Yarrowia lipolytica: one gene and its partners. The protein of the gene in region 3 interacts with the protein of the main gene of each other region in a biochemical or structural test. Links are inferred from orthologs where the notes say so. Each region holds a gene or a part of one and is shown on either strand. Other genes may lie near its edges. The genes, in order: YALI1_C12333g, YALI1_F01405g and YALI1_B13973g.

What was found.
Region 1: the proteins of YALI1_B13973g (region 3) and YALI1_C12333g form a complex in vitro, tested with the Saccharomyces cerevisiae proteins (2 studies listed by BioGRID). The link is inferred for Yarrowia lipolytica from reciprocal best matches to the Saccharomyces cerevisiae genes TOM70 and STI1.
Region 2: the proteins of YALI1_B13973g (region 3) and YALI1_F01405g form a complex in vitro, tested with the Saccharomyces cerevisiae proteins (2 studies listed by BioGRID). The link is inferred for Yarrowia lipolytica from reciprocal best matches to the Saccharomyces cerevisiae genes TOM70 and YDJ1.

Annotation. Positions count from the first base shown.
Region 1 is NC_090772.1:1,230,593-1,236,831, reverse strand, and holds YALI1_C12333g (uncharacterized protein), read right to left. Parts: upstream 3,519-6,239; coding exon 3,504-3,518; intron 3,029-3,503; coding exon 1,316-3,028; downstream 1-1,315. Other genes in the region: YALI1_C12317g (uncharacterized protein), read right to left, coding at 4,658-5,119. UniProt on the Saccharomyces cerevisiae protein: May play a role in mediating the heat shock response of some HSP70 genes. It is required for optimal growth of yeast cells at both low and high temperature.
Region 2 is NC_090775.1:138,051-143,585, forward strand, and holds YALI1_F01405g (uncharacterized protein), read right to left. Parts: upstream 2,451-5,535; coding exon 996-2,450; downstream 1-995. Other genes in the region: YALI1_F01430g (uncharacterized protein), read right to left, coding at 4,503-5,039. UniProt on the Saccharomyces cerevisiae protein: Probably involved in mitochondrial protein import. Is also required for efficient translocation of pre-pro-alpha-factor. Involved in heme regulation of HAP1, as a component of the high-molecular-weight (HMC) complex.
Region 3 is NC_090771.1:1,394,910-1,400,632, reverse strand, and holds YALI1_B13973g (uncharacterized protein), read right to left. Parts: upstream 3,309-5,723; coding exon 1,458-3,308; downstream 1-1,457. Other genes in the region: YALI1_B14013g (uncharacterized protein), read left to right, coding at 1-1,107. UniProt on the Saccharomyces cerevisiae protein: Component of the TOM (translocase of outer membrane) receptor complex responsible for the recognition and translocation of cytosolically synthesized mitochondrial preproteins.

The DNA of each region.
Region 1 (6,239 bases), on a different chromosome or scaffold from region 3:
AAAGAGCGTAGGACGTTTTGAAGGGCCAAATAAGTCATGTGCGCGGAATCATTAGAATAATAATAATATTAAAAAAAGACAAGAAAGCATTCATTAAAATAATAAAATTAAAAAAAAAAAAATTACGTGAACAAGCGAACAACGAATGTCATTGCGCACTTCAGAACAACCCGAATCCAAATCCCGATTTTCCGGGTATAATAACATTGTCTAGCTGAATTAGCTGAAATGTATTTCCCTAGAATAAGAAAAAAAAAGTATTATTCACTAGATCCAATTTTCTTTTTTTTTAAAAAGCAAAATGTATTTCCCTACCATTGAAAAAACAAAAAATTTCCTAGAATAAATCGAAATTCCCTAGAATAGATAGAAATGCTCTAGAATAAATAGAAATGCTCTAGAATAAATAGAAATGAGCTAGAATAAATAGAAATGAGCTAGAATAAATAGAAATGAGCTAGAATAAATGAATAAATAAAATGATTGAACGCCAACAACCCAGCTTAAATCTGATATTTCTGTCATGAACATTACATTTAAAATTACTGAAATAACTGAATACGATGTACTTTGCACTTGTACTTTCGTTTTTACTGCTGTGCTAGGAGTACTACCTACATTCAAAGAATGTAGAGAAAGTAGTGTTGAAGGTAATACTCGGTTGTAATACCTGGCCAATTCCTCATATAATGATGAGAGGAACCATCCTGGTCGTAGTAGATAGGTTTATCCACTGATCTAGAATCTCTTTTTGGAGAAGAGCAAGCACAAACCAGAAGGGTGTGCGCTACTATCGGAACGTGGTGTCCCTAGAAGTGACTGTAAGTCGTTTATTCACTATATCTTCAATAAGTAGACACCAATATTAACAAGAATGTCACACCAAGGGACTGGTTTTTTTCTTCCATCAAGGTTTCTCTTTATCAACTGCCTTCTTTTGGGTCGTTCAGCGGTAACATTTTTGTTGAAGTTGACTCACTACTTTAGTAGCTTTCAGATGTAACCAATGACAAAAGCAGTGCGGAAGTGTTCAAACGTTCGAACACACACGGTTTGATTGCTTCTAACCCTTAACAAGCTGCCTAGTACATATAATTCACTACTGTATCTGTAATACAGTACAAACAGCACCTGTGAGGAACTCCAACATCAATACCGGCTAACTTACACTGCGTGAACGTATTGCAGCTGCTCGTAAAAAAACTCTTCAACTGATCTATTACCTCAAACATCTTCAAACATATCATTAAATAACATCTGTACATAGTCCCAGCAATTCAACATAGGACGTTGTCTGCTTCGTGCTTCGATTCTCTTATCGAGTTCTAATAATACCGGCGGCAACCAGCAACTGGACCTTCCGGGCAACCTCGGGATTCTTCATGTGGTCCTGCAGAGCGGCGGGGTTCTCCCGAGCCTGGTTGAGAATAGACGACATGATGGGGTCCTGCAGAATCTGCACGATTTCGGGATCCTTGGAAGCTCGCTCCATGGTCTCCTCGGGAGTCTCGCCCTCCTGGGCCTGGAATCGAGCAGACATGGCCTTGTACTGCAGAGCCTCAATCTCGGCCTTGGACTTGCCCTCCTTGTCGTGCTCAAGGGCTGCAGTGCAGGTGTCCACACACTTGGAGTACTCTCGCATGGCAAAGTAGGCGTTAGCCTTTCGGATGTAGGCTCGGATGAATGAGGGGTCCTTGGAAATGGCAGCATCACAGTCAACCACAGCCTCGGGGAAAGACATGAGCTTGGCAAGGGCAGCAGCTCGGTTGGAATAACCAATGGGGTTCTCGGGAGCTCGCTTGATCATCTCGGTGTAAGCCTTAACAGCGCCGGGCCAGTCGCCGGCAGCAAACTTCTCCTTACCTTCCTCTCGGGCCTCCTCGGCCTTGGCAGGATCAATGTAGGCTTGGGTCTCCTTGTTCTTAAGATCCTTCTCAGCGGCTCGCAGCTTGGAAAGAGTATCGGGGGTTCGGTGCTCGGTGAGAGCCCGGTTGTACAGCTCAATAGCCTTGGGCAAGTTATCGAGCTTGACATAGGCGGTGGCGCATCGCGAAAACGACTTGGCCAGCACTTTGTAGTCGGCAAACACCTCCCGGCCCTTGGTGATGGCCTCCTCGCAGGTCTTAATGCATGTCTCGTAGTCACCCTTCTCAAACTCGGCGGCGGCTCGGTTGTTGAGGTAGGTGATATCCTCGTGGATGGAGTAAGCCTTGTTGTAGTGAGCAATGGCCTCGTCGAACTTGTGGGCCTTGTAAGCGGTGTTTCCGAGAGCCTTCTCCTCATCGGCCTGCTTCTTCTCGTCGGACACAGGCTCGGCGGCGGGCTTAGATTCGGTCTTGGGGGCAGCCTTGGGGGCCTCGGCGGGCTTGGCCGGCTCAGAGTCCTTCATCTCAACGTCCTGCTGGGCGTCGTGGGCAGCCTTGTCCTCAGAAGCCTTGCCCTGCATGTCGGTGGGAATACCGAGCATCAGAGCCATAGCCTTCATGAGTCGGGGGTCCTGCTGCATGCCTGAGAGAGCAGCCATGGGGTTCTTCTGCAGTTCGCCGAGCTTCTTAACAAACTCAGGGTCCTTCATGTACTCCTTGACCTCGGGGTCGGAGGCCAGCTTGGCAAGATTGGCGGGGTTGGAGAACATGTCACCAAGACCCATATCGGGGGTAGTGCCGTCGCCCTGGGCCTCGGCCATGATGGCTCGCTCGACAGACTCCAGACCAGCCTTGTTCTGGGCGTTGGAGGGGTCCAGCTTGAGACCCTCCTCGTAGGCATCCTTGGCGCCAATCAGATCGCCCTTTCCGTGCAGGGCAGCACCCTTTCGACCGTAGCCCTTAGCCCACTGGGGGTTGATGTCAATACAAGACTGGGCGTCCTTGAGAGCATCGTCGAAGTTCTTCAGAGAAGAGTGACAGGCGGATCTGTTGGAGTAGAGCACGTGGTTAGGGGTGGGAGAGGCTTCAATGGCCTTGGTGAAGTGGTCAATGGCGGTAGGGAAGTCCTTAGCAGCAAAGGCTGCGTTTCCTTGAGCTTTGAGCTGTGTTAGTATGGAGCCAGGGGGAGAAAGCTGGGGGTCCGCGAATAACGGCAGAAGCAGACACAGTCAGATGTGAGTTTGAAACTGTGACGGGCAATGGGGGTAGTGGGACCCATTGATAGCAATCAAAGCGACATGGTTGGAGTGTCATAAGAAGGGAGTTCTAGTACTCCGTGTCCATCTCAAAAATATGTCAAGACAATCCAACACCAATTGTCACGTTTGCCATCATTGAACGGTCTTTGGACCATTACCATCACCACGTCACCACCGTACAATCATCATTGCACCACAGTGTCCCACAGTCAACAGTTCTGTAAAACCATTGATTATAGGGACAGCTAGATCATGGCCTCGTGACTGTGTCAAAGTCACTCAAAAACCCACCGAATCAGGTCCAAATCACCCCAATTGTGTCACCTTCTCTTCTGGGTCGCATTCTCATCCAGTGTCGCATTTCCCTTTCAATACTCACTTCGTCAGCAGACATTTTAAGTGTTCTTTCAGAGTCTCGGTATGGGGTCGAAAAAGGCAGCAGCCCTCTTATATCCCAACCTGCAAGACCCCAGCTGAATCTTCTAGAATCTTGTGGTGGTGTGGGACCCTAACCCTGACGCCTGAACTTTGCCAAACCGATACAAAATGAGTTCGCCACTATAATGGGGGAAGCCAAGTGTATTTTTCGGGTCACGTGAGTTATAAGAGACACTTTCCTTACAATAACAGCGATAGTGGCCATTTTCTACTCTTTCAGTAGACACTAAATCGACGGGTTGCCACTATTGAATAAGTTTTGAATCGGGCGTATGTCTGGAAAACTTTATTAATTGTTGAGCCGCACGGGAGGGAGATCTCAATATGGGGCGGTACAAGTATTATATGACGTAATTACGAGACTCAATGGTGGTAATATGGGATACATTTATTTTGATATGTTGTTTTATTGATTTTTCGAATTTTTTAAATTTCATTCGAATTTGTTTCGATTTTTTTTTATTTAAATTTATTGATTTTTTTGAACTGGGGAAAATCTTGGAAAAAAGGATACACCTTCTCAGCATCAACACCATCTGAAAGGATATCGATGATATGTTTAAAAAAAACAACCATATATACGTATTGTATTAGTTCAGGAGTCTCAGATTTTCAAAATATGACTACTTGCAGCTATACATCACCCCACTTATCATAGTCTCCATCTGAAATGGAACCCAGAGTTCCCCCTCTTGTCCTTTAGTTACATTACCGGACATTATCATCACGTGACGCAGGATGGGTTGAGTGAGAGAGGTGTGGTATTATATACCAAGATCTTTGGGGTTCGTGCTACGCACTATCTATGAGCCCTGTTTTCTGTTCAAGGCACGAGTGTGGATACCTTGATCTGTTGGGTTCAGCATAGTGGATAAATACTCGTAATTCATTACCTATACATTCTAAGTCTCAAGTGCCAGACTTGGGCTTTACTCGACAGTGGTTGATTGTAGCCTTTCGTACTGTACAGTTGGTGTCAGTGACACTGTAGTTGGCGGTGTTAGTTGTCTCTTATTTGGTCAGTTTCTCATTTGGTGTCGGTTGGTTTCCAGCCTGCTTTAGTCCATCGACTACACCGGGCTTCATCTCGGTCTGTCAGCTCGTCAATGAGTAGCACTGCTGATGAACCAATCCTCCAAACACCTGCTTGACCGCATCGGTATCGTTGAACTGTCTCTGACAAATGTGGCACATTTCAGCCGGCGAAACGGTCCCTTCGTCCTGACGATAGTAGTAGTACGGTCTAGCGAACCCGTCGCTGTGGGAGTAAGAAGGCAGGGTGTCCGAGTTGTAGGACCAGGTGGAAGGGTTGGTGGATTGAGAGCTGGTGGAAATGTAGGTAGTCAGAGGCTCCTTGTAGTACTTTGGCCTTGTTTGCTGGGGCTCTTGCACGGCTCGCCATTGCTGCACCATCTGGTTGGCTTCCAGGTCCCTTCTGGCTGACTGATTTCGCAGTCGTCGTTTCTGGACAAAGTGGCGAGTGAAGTAGACCGCTAGGAGCACCACCAGGAACACCACACACACAATGATGGCAACGTAGTAGTATCTTGGAGTCATGGAGACGGATGTTGATTCTCTTGGAAAAGGTGGACCAAAGATAGCCAGACCACACCTACATATATCTGGGCCATGACGGACCACGGAGCCCAAAGTGTAAAGACAAGGCTAAGGGAGAGAGCATAAAAGAGCGTTGGGAAAAAGTAAGTGTCGCTTGAGCCAAACACCTTGCTTGCAAGTCCAGTTGAAACAACTGTAGATGTAACAAGGTGCAGAGATCGTGGCTCTGGTCTGGTCCAACACAACGGTACTGTACCGTCACTTCACTACATATAAGACACGCGAGAGAAACCAAATGGAGTCTTTACCGGACGATAGGTTGCCAGCTGCTCACTTTTACAAAGCCAAGGTGATAGCACTTGCATTATTGCTGGCCCCAATGCGACCTCGAAACGGGGTTAACAGGATCCAGAATTAGATTGAACCTTGTGTGCTTGTCCTGGCAGAGAGATAGTCGGTTTTTGGGCTGTGCAAGGAAGCTGTGGCTGGTATATTTAGCGGTAGACGCGGTAAAAAAGTCCTGAACGGCGTCTACACGCGCCATATTACCGCTCTAGACCCCGCTATGGCCTCCACTACCCACAACTGTCTCCATCCACCTGCCATTCCAAACCACCCCTTGAACTCACTTCCCAGAGAAGGGATGTCAATAACGTGTAGCAGCAGCACGTAGGTTGTAACAGGGCAGGGTTGGCACGAGGCAGGGGAGGTCTTGGACGGTACCGCATCAGGAGAAGCAAAATTATGTATCGTAATTCCTGTTGAACTCGTCCTGTTTGACAGACTCCTAATGTCATTTTTACTTGTACGACATTGTCACCTTGTGTTTCATCTTGTAACAGAAATAATTATATAAGCGCAGTCGCACCCTCCACCCTTCACCTTCACCTTCACCCTTCACCCTTCGTACCTTCTGCGACAGGGCTTGCAGACAACTGGTGTGACTTGGAATAACGCACTGTGGCCCCCTTACTCTCACCATGCACACAGCACCCAGCCTGACAGCCTTCCCCACAGGTGTCCCCCAAACCCAAAGACACATGGACGGGACCGCTGAGCTGCGGATATCAGGAGGGTCCCCTGGTCAGGTTGCAGGTGACAAAAGTGTCCGGCGGCCAGG
Region 2 (5,535 bases), on a different chromosome or scaffold from region 3:
CGGTCATGTACTCGGAACTCTAGACTCACCATCAGACACGCTACTGTACCATTTATTGTAACGCAGGAACGTTACGACTGATTCACCACCTTAAACCCCCTCTAAGAACCCATCAACTAGTCTCATTCACTAGCCCTCCTGTGATTAAATACTACCGTTGGATTCCCCATCGTCTTTTTTCTCTAGTGATTTATTAACATAGACAAATAATGGCGGAAAAAAGGGGGATGTTGGTATGTGTCCAAACACAGCCAACGCCCAAGAACAAGACGCTTGAATGTTGCTCCTATCAATCCAAATAGAAAAAGATACGACAAGGTCCGCCATTATTCATAATACCGGTTTGTACAAGTACTGTACAGACAACTCATTTATCATGATCCAATTGGGTCAATATATCTATATATGGGTGTTAGCTACTAAGAACACTATACTGTTCAATAACTACGTACGCTTACTCATCTAAACCAAGTAGCTACTGTACAAGTATACCAAAACAGCTATCACATAGTGGCACAAACAACCAAAAACTACCCTGGAATCAATAGCACCACCCTTCTCTGCTTCGAACACTACATGTACAAGAAGTGCTCTCGAGCCTAGACAGTCATGTTACAGTAGTTCAGGAACCAGATCAAAAAGCAAATAAATACGATCGAATGTACCTCTTAACTTCAATATGGCATGTGTTCGGAGATATCAGTGGGATCCTCATAGCTTTGCGCGAACATGTACACACACCTACATTGTCACCAACATATGTACTGTGCTGTACATCCTGTACTCATATATCCGTGGAGACAGCCGAACTACAAACAATTATACTCACATCTCCTTCTACACTACTGTTCTCATTCGGACTAGATCCTCAGCGGACTAGATCCTCAGGCTCTCTTCTCATATCATCAATCCATTCTAACCTCTATCTACCTACTATCTTGTCACCTCCAAGGTTGCAACATAAATAGAGTTTCTATATAACCGTACTTAATCTCTTACTGAGAAGCACACTGGACACCCTGGGCTCCTCCAGGTCCATCCTCATCCATGTCCATCTCATCATCGCCGCCCATAGCTCCTCGGTGCTTGAGAGGATCCACGTCAGCCAGAACAACATCGTCAACATGGACACTCTCGGGCACACTGGGAAGAGCAGGCTTGGCAGGCAGAAGAGCAGACAGCTGTTGCAGAGTCTCCTCGTTGAGAGAGCCAGATGCGGGGAACTCGACCTCAAACTGAATGAACAGGTTGCCGTGAACCTGGTGTCGGTAGGAGGGCATACCCTTGCCCTCCACGACCTTGGTGGTGCCATGCGAAATGATCTCGCCGGGGATGATCTCCACCTTGATCCACTCCTCCTTCTCAAGATGCTCAATCATGAAAGAGCCACCGGTAAGGGCAGTGTTGAGATCAATCTTGGCGTGGTAGTACAGATCGTCGCCTCGTCGGACAAATCGGGCGTGGGGCTGCTCATCCAGCACAAAGACAACGTCACCAGGAATAATATCAGGACCCTGGTCACCCTCACCAGAGAAGGTGATCTTCTGTCCGTTGACCATACCCTTATCAATGTTGACCTCGAGCACCTTTCGCTCCTCCTTGGTCTTTCTTCCGTTACAGTCCTTGCATCGATCCTTGGGGTCGATGATCTCGCCCTCGCCGTTACAGTCGTTACACTTGGTCTGGTATCGCTGCAGCATGGGGCCCATTTGTCGGGTGACAAACTTGAATCCCTGACCCTTACAGGTCTCACACTTGTTGACGGAGCCGGCCTTGCCTCCGATACCGTCACAGCCGTTACAGAGCACGGTCTTCTTGAGAGCCATCTTGGAGGTCTTTCCTCGGAACAGGTCCTCGAGGGTCACGGACACGGCGTGAACAATGTCACGGGATCGTCGGGGGCCCTGGGGCTGGCCGCCGCCGAACATGCCGCCCATGCCGCCCATGCCACCGCCGCCGCCAAAGAAATGCGAAAACAGCTCCTCAGCAGATCCGCCGCCCATTCCTCCGTCGGCTCCTCCGCCGAGGCCAGCCTCTCCAAAGTTGTCGTATGCAGCTCTCTTCTGGTCGTTTGACAGAACCTCGTAGGCCATGGAGATTTCCTTGAACTTGGCCTCGGCCTCGACGTTGCCGGGGTTCTTATCGGGGTGGTATTTGAGAGCACCAACTCGGTATGCCTTTTTGATTTCCACTTCGGTGGCGGTTACGCTGACGCCTGGGTTAGTAAAGCACTTCGGGGTGCGTGGCACGACTGAGCGAGAGACAGGAGAGATGTGGGAGCACGTAGCGTGTCTGGTAATACCAGGTTGTGTGGTTTGGTCATGGCAATCGCAGGATGGTAATGAGAGAGCCGCAACATTGCTACTAACCAGTGTGACAAATCCAGATGAACAGCCAGTCATGTACACAAACACAGAACCATCCTCAGATTGCACTGTGTTCATATTCATACTGCCACATTGTCACATTGTCACATTGCCAATCCCTCCCACTCAACATCACCACAGTTTCGCTTCGCTTCTGATCCTTGATATGATAAGACTCTGATCACAAGTCTGTGTGTGGTCTTCATACTATTCAGCTTCATCTCAACCGCTCCGTCCATTCACTCTCCTCTTCTCTTCTCTTCTCATACTCACCGAGAACGTCGTAGAGTTTTGATTCCTTGACCATTTTGTCTGTGTCGTGTGTTTGTGTTGTTGTGAGAGTCTAGGTCTAATTTTTCCAGGAGGCCTCAACTTCTCGTAGATTGGCTTGTATATACACTGCCAAAAAATTTGAGGATGGGCCTGAAAGTTAGAGGGCACAAAGAGTACTGGGAGTGTTTAACGCGAATAAGGTTCACAAAGAAGGGTGTAGAAAGATCCAGACACTGCCTGCTCAGTCCCGTGCCAGTGGAGAAAGAAGGGCGTTGGTGGGGTGGCGTGGGAGTGGTTTTTTGCTGTGTATTTTTGCCACGCGAAATCGGGTCTCTGGCTCCATTTTGCGGCCGTTTTGGGGTCTCTGACGTCGTGCATAAAGTGTTCAGTTGTGCGAGCTCTTGTTCCAAGACCTTCTTCCAGTTTCCCCAATGTTCGATGAGCTCAACTTAGTGACGTAATCGCGAGTTATAATTTACAGGTACGGGAGCGGGATCGCATCGAGGAAGGGCGATGGTGGGGACACAATTAAATATCACGCAAAAATAGTGATAAATATACGTGTGCCATGGGCAGTATATTTTGATTCTTTTTGCGTGATATTTATTCATCCCTTCAACCGCCTCATCTCGGATCCCAATTGTCTCGAGTTAATCACTGATGCACAATCTAATTGCACGCTGGGCACGAGTAAAAACGACGTGCTGGGGCGTGGGTTGGTGCCTCAGATAGCAAGGTATACGCAATCGAAGCAGCATGGAAGTTTCGTGGTCAGTGGGGACCGGTTTGGGGTCCACGAGATAAGTTCTAGGGTGTTCTAGGAGCTGAGAAAGAGTGATGTGTAGATGGGCTTAAAAATTACCGACAAGTAGAAGGGGAGTCAACTAAAGATTCAAGTAGCAAAACAACCAACGGTGAAGGATTGCAACTTCGTTGGTATTGAATCGATAACGATTTTGGAGCAGTTAGAAGCTTTAAGAAGGTGGCCGGGCTGAATAAATGAATTTCAGCGTCCGAAATACCTCTTGAAACAGCTTTTGAAGCCTCGTGTGATGGTGCTCACATCGGAACTCCTACTTGTAGTAGTATGTTACTGGGACTGGATGGAGACATCTTGATCTGCTGGATAAGAGATTTATTTTGAACCACTCAAGTCCATTAGATTCATTGGATGACTTGGTTGATTGATTGAAAAGAACTGCAGAAATCTGATCAGCAGATTGCTATAGCTGGCTTACCATTGTCCTTCCGTTACTTTTTTTTTTTTTTTTTCCTGCATATACATTCATTTAATTATAACTTTGCTGTGAAAGAATAACCTTTGAAATGAATGTACGCTTTTCTTACCTCTGTCGGATCATTTACTTGGAAGTTAGTTAGAGAAAATGCCAGCTTGAGGTTCAATACAGATCCCAGCGTCGTTCGAGATCCAAGGAGGATCTTTGAGAAAAAAATGTAGCCGAATATATATTAATATATTTCGATATACCTGGATTGACCAAAATGTAGGACTCAACATTACCTATATTAGTTTGGACTAATGTACCCTGAAGGGGTTTAGCTACCAGAACACCAAATAACCACCTTCGAGAGAGTAGACCTCTGTTTGTCAAGTACGAGCTACAAGTACAGTACAGTACAGTACTTCACTTCTAATAACAATAAATTAATGCAATAAATCCATGCTGTTGTCGTCTGCCATAGTGATGCAGCTGTGAATGATTTGCCAATCGTCCAGTAATGTTGCAGATATCTCTGCAACAGCCCACTCAATAACGGGTCGTTTGATCCGTACAACTGTCACGGCGAGGAATGTTGAGCACGACCTTCAGGCTGTCAGATGGGTTCGCTCGTTCGCAAAGTTCACTCATCCACCTCCTCCTCGTCACTCGACTCGTAATCCACAGGAGCCAGACCAGGAGTCAAGCCAGGCTGACCCTTGTACCGCTCAAACTCATCCTCTCCCTCAGACTCAGTTTCCTCCTCCTCAGGCTCGACATAGTTGGGATACGTCTTGTGCTTCACCTTAGGCTTGGGCAGACGACCCGTGAGCTCAGCAAGCTGCTTGGACTTGAGCATATGGGAGCCCCGCTTGGAGTTGACGTGCTTCATGATCTGGGCTTGAAGCTGCTCCTCGTCCATCGCGTACTCGGACTCCTTGACGTCATAGGATCGCACCAGCCGCGCGTTCTTCTTGATCTCAGCCTTGCGCTTCTTGTCAGCGAGCTCCTTGTCCAGAAGCAGCTTGAGCTCCTCCTTCTGTTTTTGCTCTTTCTGCCGTAGCTTTCGCTGGGTCGCAGACTTCTTTTTGTGCACTCGTCGGCTCACGTCCTCGGACGGAGCAAGCGTTCGGCTCAGTAGCTTGGCAACGGTGGCCTCAGAAGCACTTGAAACGCCCATCTTTTGTGTGTAATGTGGTGGTGATGAGTTTGTCTTGGATACAGATATGCACGACAAAAATAATTTTCGAAATCATGCATGTCGAGGTTTAGGGTTTGTATTACATAAGCGAGGGAGGGACGGAGCACTGGGTTGTATAAACCGGCCCTAGCGATGCTATATCGGAAATATTGAAAGACATTTTTGTTTTTAATCTCGTGAAAAGTATTATTCACACATATTTTATCTCGTAACTCATGTCAGACATCCAAGTTGGATGAACTTCATATCTTGGACGCCATCAAAGCCATATAACAGCCGAATGGAACTCGATGAGAAACTGTTAGACTAGAGAATATTGCTTATATGGCTTTATTACTCAGATCACAAGACTTCATTTCCATACAAACCTCCTAAGACTGGTGTTGGACCTAATGAGAGTAGACTCTACAGCATATCTCCAACTTGGTGTGCCATAAGGGAAGGGCAATGTGAAGATATGCGGCTAATGTTTTTT
Region 3 (5,723 bases):
CGCCCTAGCTCCTTGTCGCAGACAGATATCGAGCTGTACGAAAGTCCGGCGGTGGGGAAGCTCATTTCTGTGTTGGAAGAGAGCGTGGCATTGAAGAAGGCTCAGCAGCAGGAGCGCACGAGCCGCTCATCTAGATCCACCTCTGTCAACTCCTCTGCTCCCACTACAGTCAGTTCGGCTGCTTCTTCTGAGTCCACAGACACAGCTCAGCGAAAGTACGAGGCGGAATTTCTGCGACGTGTACAGGCCAAGGTGGAGCTCCGCAACCAAAAGGTCAAGCAGGCAGCTCTTCTTGGCGAGCGAGGCATTCGTTTGGTTCCACCAAAGAAGCCTGAAACACCTGGAACGCCCAAACCAGCAGGATGGGGGGAGTACTTTCCTTGGGCCAAGAAAGCAGACGAACCTGCTGCTTCTGACATTCCCGTGGAGACAGAGCCAGCATTTGAGTCCCTGGCTGCCCAGTACTACCAGGATCTATTTCAGATGATGCGAGACCACGATGTTCCTGCTGTCGTTGGAGACGCTATTGTCAAGGGATACGAAGAGGCCATTAGGATTGAAAAGGAGATCAAAGACGAGACGATCAAACAAAAAAAGGCCAGGGAAGAGGCTGAAAGGAAGGCAGCTACTCCCGTTGCACCTCCTGTTGCCAACACGCCTGCTTTCCTCACCGTCATCATTCACGGTGCCGAAGAAGAAAAGGACTATGGCTACAAGATCCCCGTCGACAGTATCAAGACGTTCAAGGAGTTCAAGAATCTCATGATCTTGACTTTCCCGTACAAGGCCAAACATTGGCAAAAGGAGTGCTTCCAAGTATTTGATGAAACAAACAACTATTTCATCATGGGCCAGTTCTGGGACAAGCTCATCAAACGAGACACCATTCTGGCCGTTTCCCTGACTCCCTTGCCTCCGGAGAAGGAAAAGGAACCCAAAGACAAAGGTAAACCCGAATCTCCAGCCACCCCCATGCCGGGCAAGAAGAAAAAAGAACCGTCCAAGTTCTCCAAGGCCATTATGGCTGACTTTGATAAAAAGAAATTCAATCAGAACACCACCAAAATGTTCAAGAAGTTCGTGGAGGCCTCCACTCGACCGATTTAACTATTAATCAAGTACTGGCAGCTACATATTCAATAATTTATGACTAACATATACGGCGTATGTAGTGTGTGACACGACAGTACTGCACATACTGCAAGTCTGTGTAAGTGAGATACAATTCTCGTGACATTTTTGATGATTAGGAGTTGACCCACTAAACAAGTCGCGCCAGAGACCACGCTGTTACAGTATTACGATATCCCCATCACTTGTATTACACATTTGATTGTCAGTACAAATACTGTAGCCACCGTGACACAGTTTTGACTACCTACGCTCACTCTTTTGTTCCAATAGTCATACTCGTATTAGACAGGCCATTCGACCCATCTTTGCTATATACACTTTGTCTAAGCCTGAGGGGGAGTAATCTCCTTGAGCTTCTTGTAGACCACGGGGAGATCGGTCTGCAGGGTGGTCTGGATCTTGGAGGCCACCAGGAAGACGAGGTTCTGCACCAGCTCCTCCTCGCTTCGAGCGTACTCGGCGTTTTTCTTGAACATCTTCATGGCCTCGTCGTGCTTGCCGGCAGACAGGTACAGCTGGGCCAGGGTTCCGATGGCAACTTCGGATCGATCGTCGATCACGAGAGCCTGCTTACAGAGGTCGACGGAGGTGTCGAAGTCCTTCTGAGTCTGGAAGATAACCAGAGCCTTGGAGACCAGAGGCAGCACGCTCATGGAGGTGGGGTTCTGCTCCTTCTCGAGAGCAATGGCCTTGTCGAGGTATCGCAGCGACTCGGAGTACTTTTGGGTAGACAGAAGAGCCTCGGCGTAGTAGTTCCACAGATCAGCGTTCTTGGGGAACTTCTTAGCACCCTCCTCGAAGACCTCGAAGCAGGCGTCGACGAGGTGTCGGGTCTCGATGGGGTTGGACTGGCCCACTCGCTCACCCTTCTTAAGGTGGGAGTTGGCCTTGAAGATGAGCGACGGCACAAAAGTGTCGTCCAGCTCCAGAGACTTGTTGTAACACTCAATGGCCTTGTCAAACTCCTCGGACAGGAAGTACAGCTGGCCCTGGTGGTGGTAGCAGTCGGGGTCCTCAGCGTTGAGAGCCAGGGCAAGCTCAATGTCCTTCTGGGAGGCAGCCTTATCTCCGGTGTCGAGGTGGATGGAGGATCGAGTGATGTAGGCTTGAACAGTGGCAGACAGCTGCAGAGACAGGTCAATATCGGCCTTGGCCTCGTCAATCTTGTTCATAAGGAAGTTGAAGATGGCTCGGTACTCGAGAGCCAGAGCCTTTAGGGTGGGGAAAAGGTTCTGCAGATCGGTGCCGGCAATGGCCTTGTCGAGGTGCTCGAGGGCCTTTGTGTACGAGTCGTAAGTGCCCTTCTCAATCAGATCGAGGGCAAGAACCAGCTCCTGCTCGGCCTCGTGGTCAGTGTCCTTCTTGAGGTCCTTGGGCATCTTTCGGGGTCGGAAAGAGCCAAGGTAGGTCTTGACAAACTGCTGGGAGGGCAGTACCTTGGGTCGGTCCTTGTACTCCTCCTGGGCCACCTGGGCAGCGTTGAGTCGCATCAGTCGGTCGACCATGTCGTTCATGGAGGTGTCGCCAAAGTTCTCGAGCACGCAAGAGGCGGTGATGTCGACAGCTGCGTCGTAGTAATTCTCGAGCTTCTCCTGGGCGGTTCCTCGTCGTCGGAAACACTTGAAGTAGTCGGGTCGCAGCTTGATGGCGGCAGTTGTGTCGTCCACGACCTTCTGGTAGTCCTCCAGGGCAAAGTAGCAGGCGGATCGGTTGGAGTAGAAGATGGGGTCAATGTAGCAGTCCAGAGCCTTGGTGTAGAGCTCGGCGGCCTTGGTGTGCTCCTTCTTGGCGTACAGGGCGTTTCCGGCGGCCTTGAACGAGTTAGCGAGCTCCTTTCGCTCGGATTCGGACAGCTCCTTCACCTTCTCCCAGTCCTGGACATCGGGGTACTGAGGCTCGGATCGGGTCAGAGGAATGCCGGCAATGGACTTTTCGGGCAGATCAGCCTTCTTGGCGGAAGACTCCTCGGTAGAAGAGGCATCCTTCTTGGCCTTCTTAGCCTTCTTCTTTTTCTTGTTCTTGGAAGACGAGTCCTTCTTGGGGCTCATTTGCTGCTGGGAAACCACATAGAAGGATCCAGCGGTGGCAACGGCAGCAATGGCAGACGCCACAAGAATGGTCTTTCGGTTGTCAGCGGCCCACGAGACCAGTCGGTTCCAGCTGCTTTCACTCATTTTTTCTCTCAGTTGTGCTGTGTTGGTACAGTAGAACAAGACTGTGTTTGCTGTTGTCAAAAGAGAGAGCTTCTTCCAATTGTACGCAAGGCAAAAAGCTCTAAAAGTTGTACTGGTCTTGAAACTCTGTTTGGTCTAAAATTCACCCAGTTGAAAGATGGAAAACTTTAGAACATGGCAGATGGCCATTGCTTGGAACCGATATTGGATATAAAAGAGGCCACATTGGGGGCTGATAGTATAAAGCTGAGCCTGCAGATTCGATTCTCTTTTTCACGCCTCCAATATGTTGATTTCCCACCAACTTAGAGACACCCTAAAATTCGCACTACTACGTCACATGACCCGTTAAGTATTACAAGCTATTAGCGAGTCTAAGTCAAATGATCCGGCGCCGGGTTCATGGCAAACCAAGACGTCATAGTGCATTGTATATGGCTGACCAAGATGAACGTACACCTGTGGCGAGTAGGTCATGTGACTTTCACGTTGTGAACTGCTCAATCCGCTACACATGAGCGCTCAATTGGCCTTCACCACGCTCGTCCTGGCGCTGTACCTGCCTCCTTCCAATGAGCGATTTGCCGTACCCCGAAACCACTACAGTTCTAGATCTTCACCGTTGGCCGGCTGAATGCGTCCCCGGAAAAGAAAAGAAAAGAAGACAAGATAGTGGTCACGTGAAGATCACGTGAGTTTCAAACGCTCGCTCACCAAGGTGGAAATGTCAGTGTGTGCTGTGCCTGACTTTCTGCATACAGTGCTCGGCTAAACGGACTGCCAGTAATAATTTACACACCTGTAACCGCCCCGGTGGAACGGACGAATACGAGACAGCGTGAGACATAATATGGGAATGATAGATGGCTTGATATGTGGATGAAATCCAGCACATTTTGTTCAAAAAAGGTACATAAAATGGGCGTTTGAGCGTCCTTTCTTAGTCCTGTATAGGTACTCTACAATCACCCACCTCTTATCTTCATCATGGTTATACGGTTTGGTGTTTGAGGTTAACCCCGTAAATTACCATACCGAATCGCGAGCATCAGACATGGTACTGGTAAAAGGGTATTTCCACAATAATTTGACCGAGATTTTTCCATAAATCTATTCCGACTACCAGATACTTGTAATTCCAAGCACTAGTGGCTATTTTTTGCCTCTCCAAACGTCCATTATAGGTGTCCAATGCCCTCTTCATTGCCTCGTCCATTTCCCGCACTTTGAGTAGAGCACATGAAGCAATGGTCACCACCATAGTTACAAGCTACCGTGCTGTGCCTGGGGTCACTGGACCAACGAGTTCCAGGTTGGAGACTAAATCCTAAACAATCACGATGACGTTGGCAGCTGGGGATTTTAGCACGTTGATTACGACGCTCACTAACCAGTTTTTCCTTTTCAGCACGGGACCCTATCAGTCGCCCGGTAATTGACAGTGTTTGGCACAGCAACTGCGGGCACGTTAAACTCTGAAAATTCACATGGAACTCTGGGGAACCGAAAGCTTGTGCAGAATGAAGAGATCTGCAGTAACGGCCGTGATACAGACGCTGGGTCCCAGTTATATACCGAGGCATGCAATTTGATAGTGACATGCCCGCTGTAGCGGCATGTCCAACAATATACCACGCTTATACACCAGCTTATTCAGTACTTACCTGTGTATGTACATTGCCAGGTACCGGGACCTCCCCGTATTGTTTTCTGCACCCCGGAAAGTCCCGAAAGGTCGGACGTTGATCTGTTGAGCTCGGAGAGGTGTCGGTGGTTTGTCTTTATAAGACCCGAAGCCCGCGTACGAGCTCCGAAAGCTGCTGCAGCCGGTGCAAACGCGGGGTATCGGCACATATATCGTCTTTTGCCTGGGAAAGGCTGACTGCATTCGGAGCCACAGTCACCATCCTCGGTTTACCCCAGCTAAGGCTACTTTCAGCGAAGATTGTTTTTACCGTCCATTTTGGCTTTCGGTCTATAAGAAAAAGGGCTGTACTAATTTTCATGTGGGGACCGCGGCATTAGTCATGTCTAGATAGGTGGACAAATAAGAGCTGTGGAGACAACAAAAAGACGGAACAAGAGAGATGGATGGCGTAATTGCATATTGGCGGCTTAAAATCCGCCCATTGCGCGGCCGTTGACCCCCAAACACACGCCCCCATCTTCTCGGAGATAACATCGGTTTGAGGTGAAATACTATAATTCCAGCTGCAGATTGTTTGGATGCATGACGTGGAGTAGGTGCGCCAGAGGATGACGAGTTAAGTGGAGAGTCAGTGGGCAATCCGACTAAGAAGAGACAATTGTAGACAATTAAAAGCCCAGCAATTGGGTCCATTGAACCAATTCCCATACACGGCTTTTGCAGATAATTTATATCCCTCCAGCAACCACAACCACCGACTCAAATCC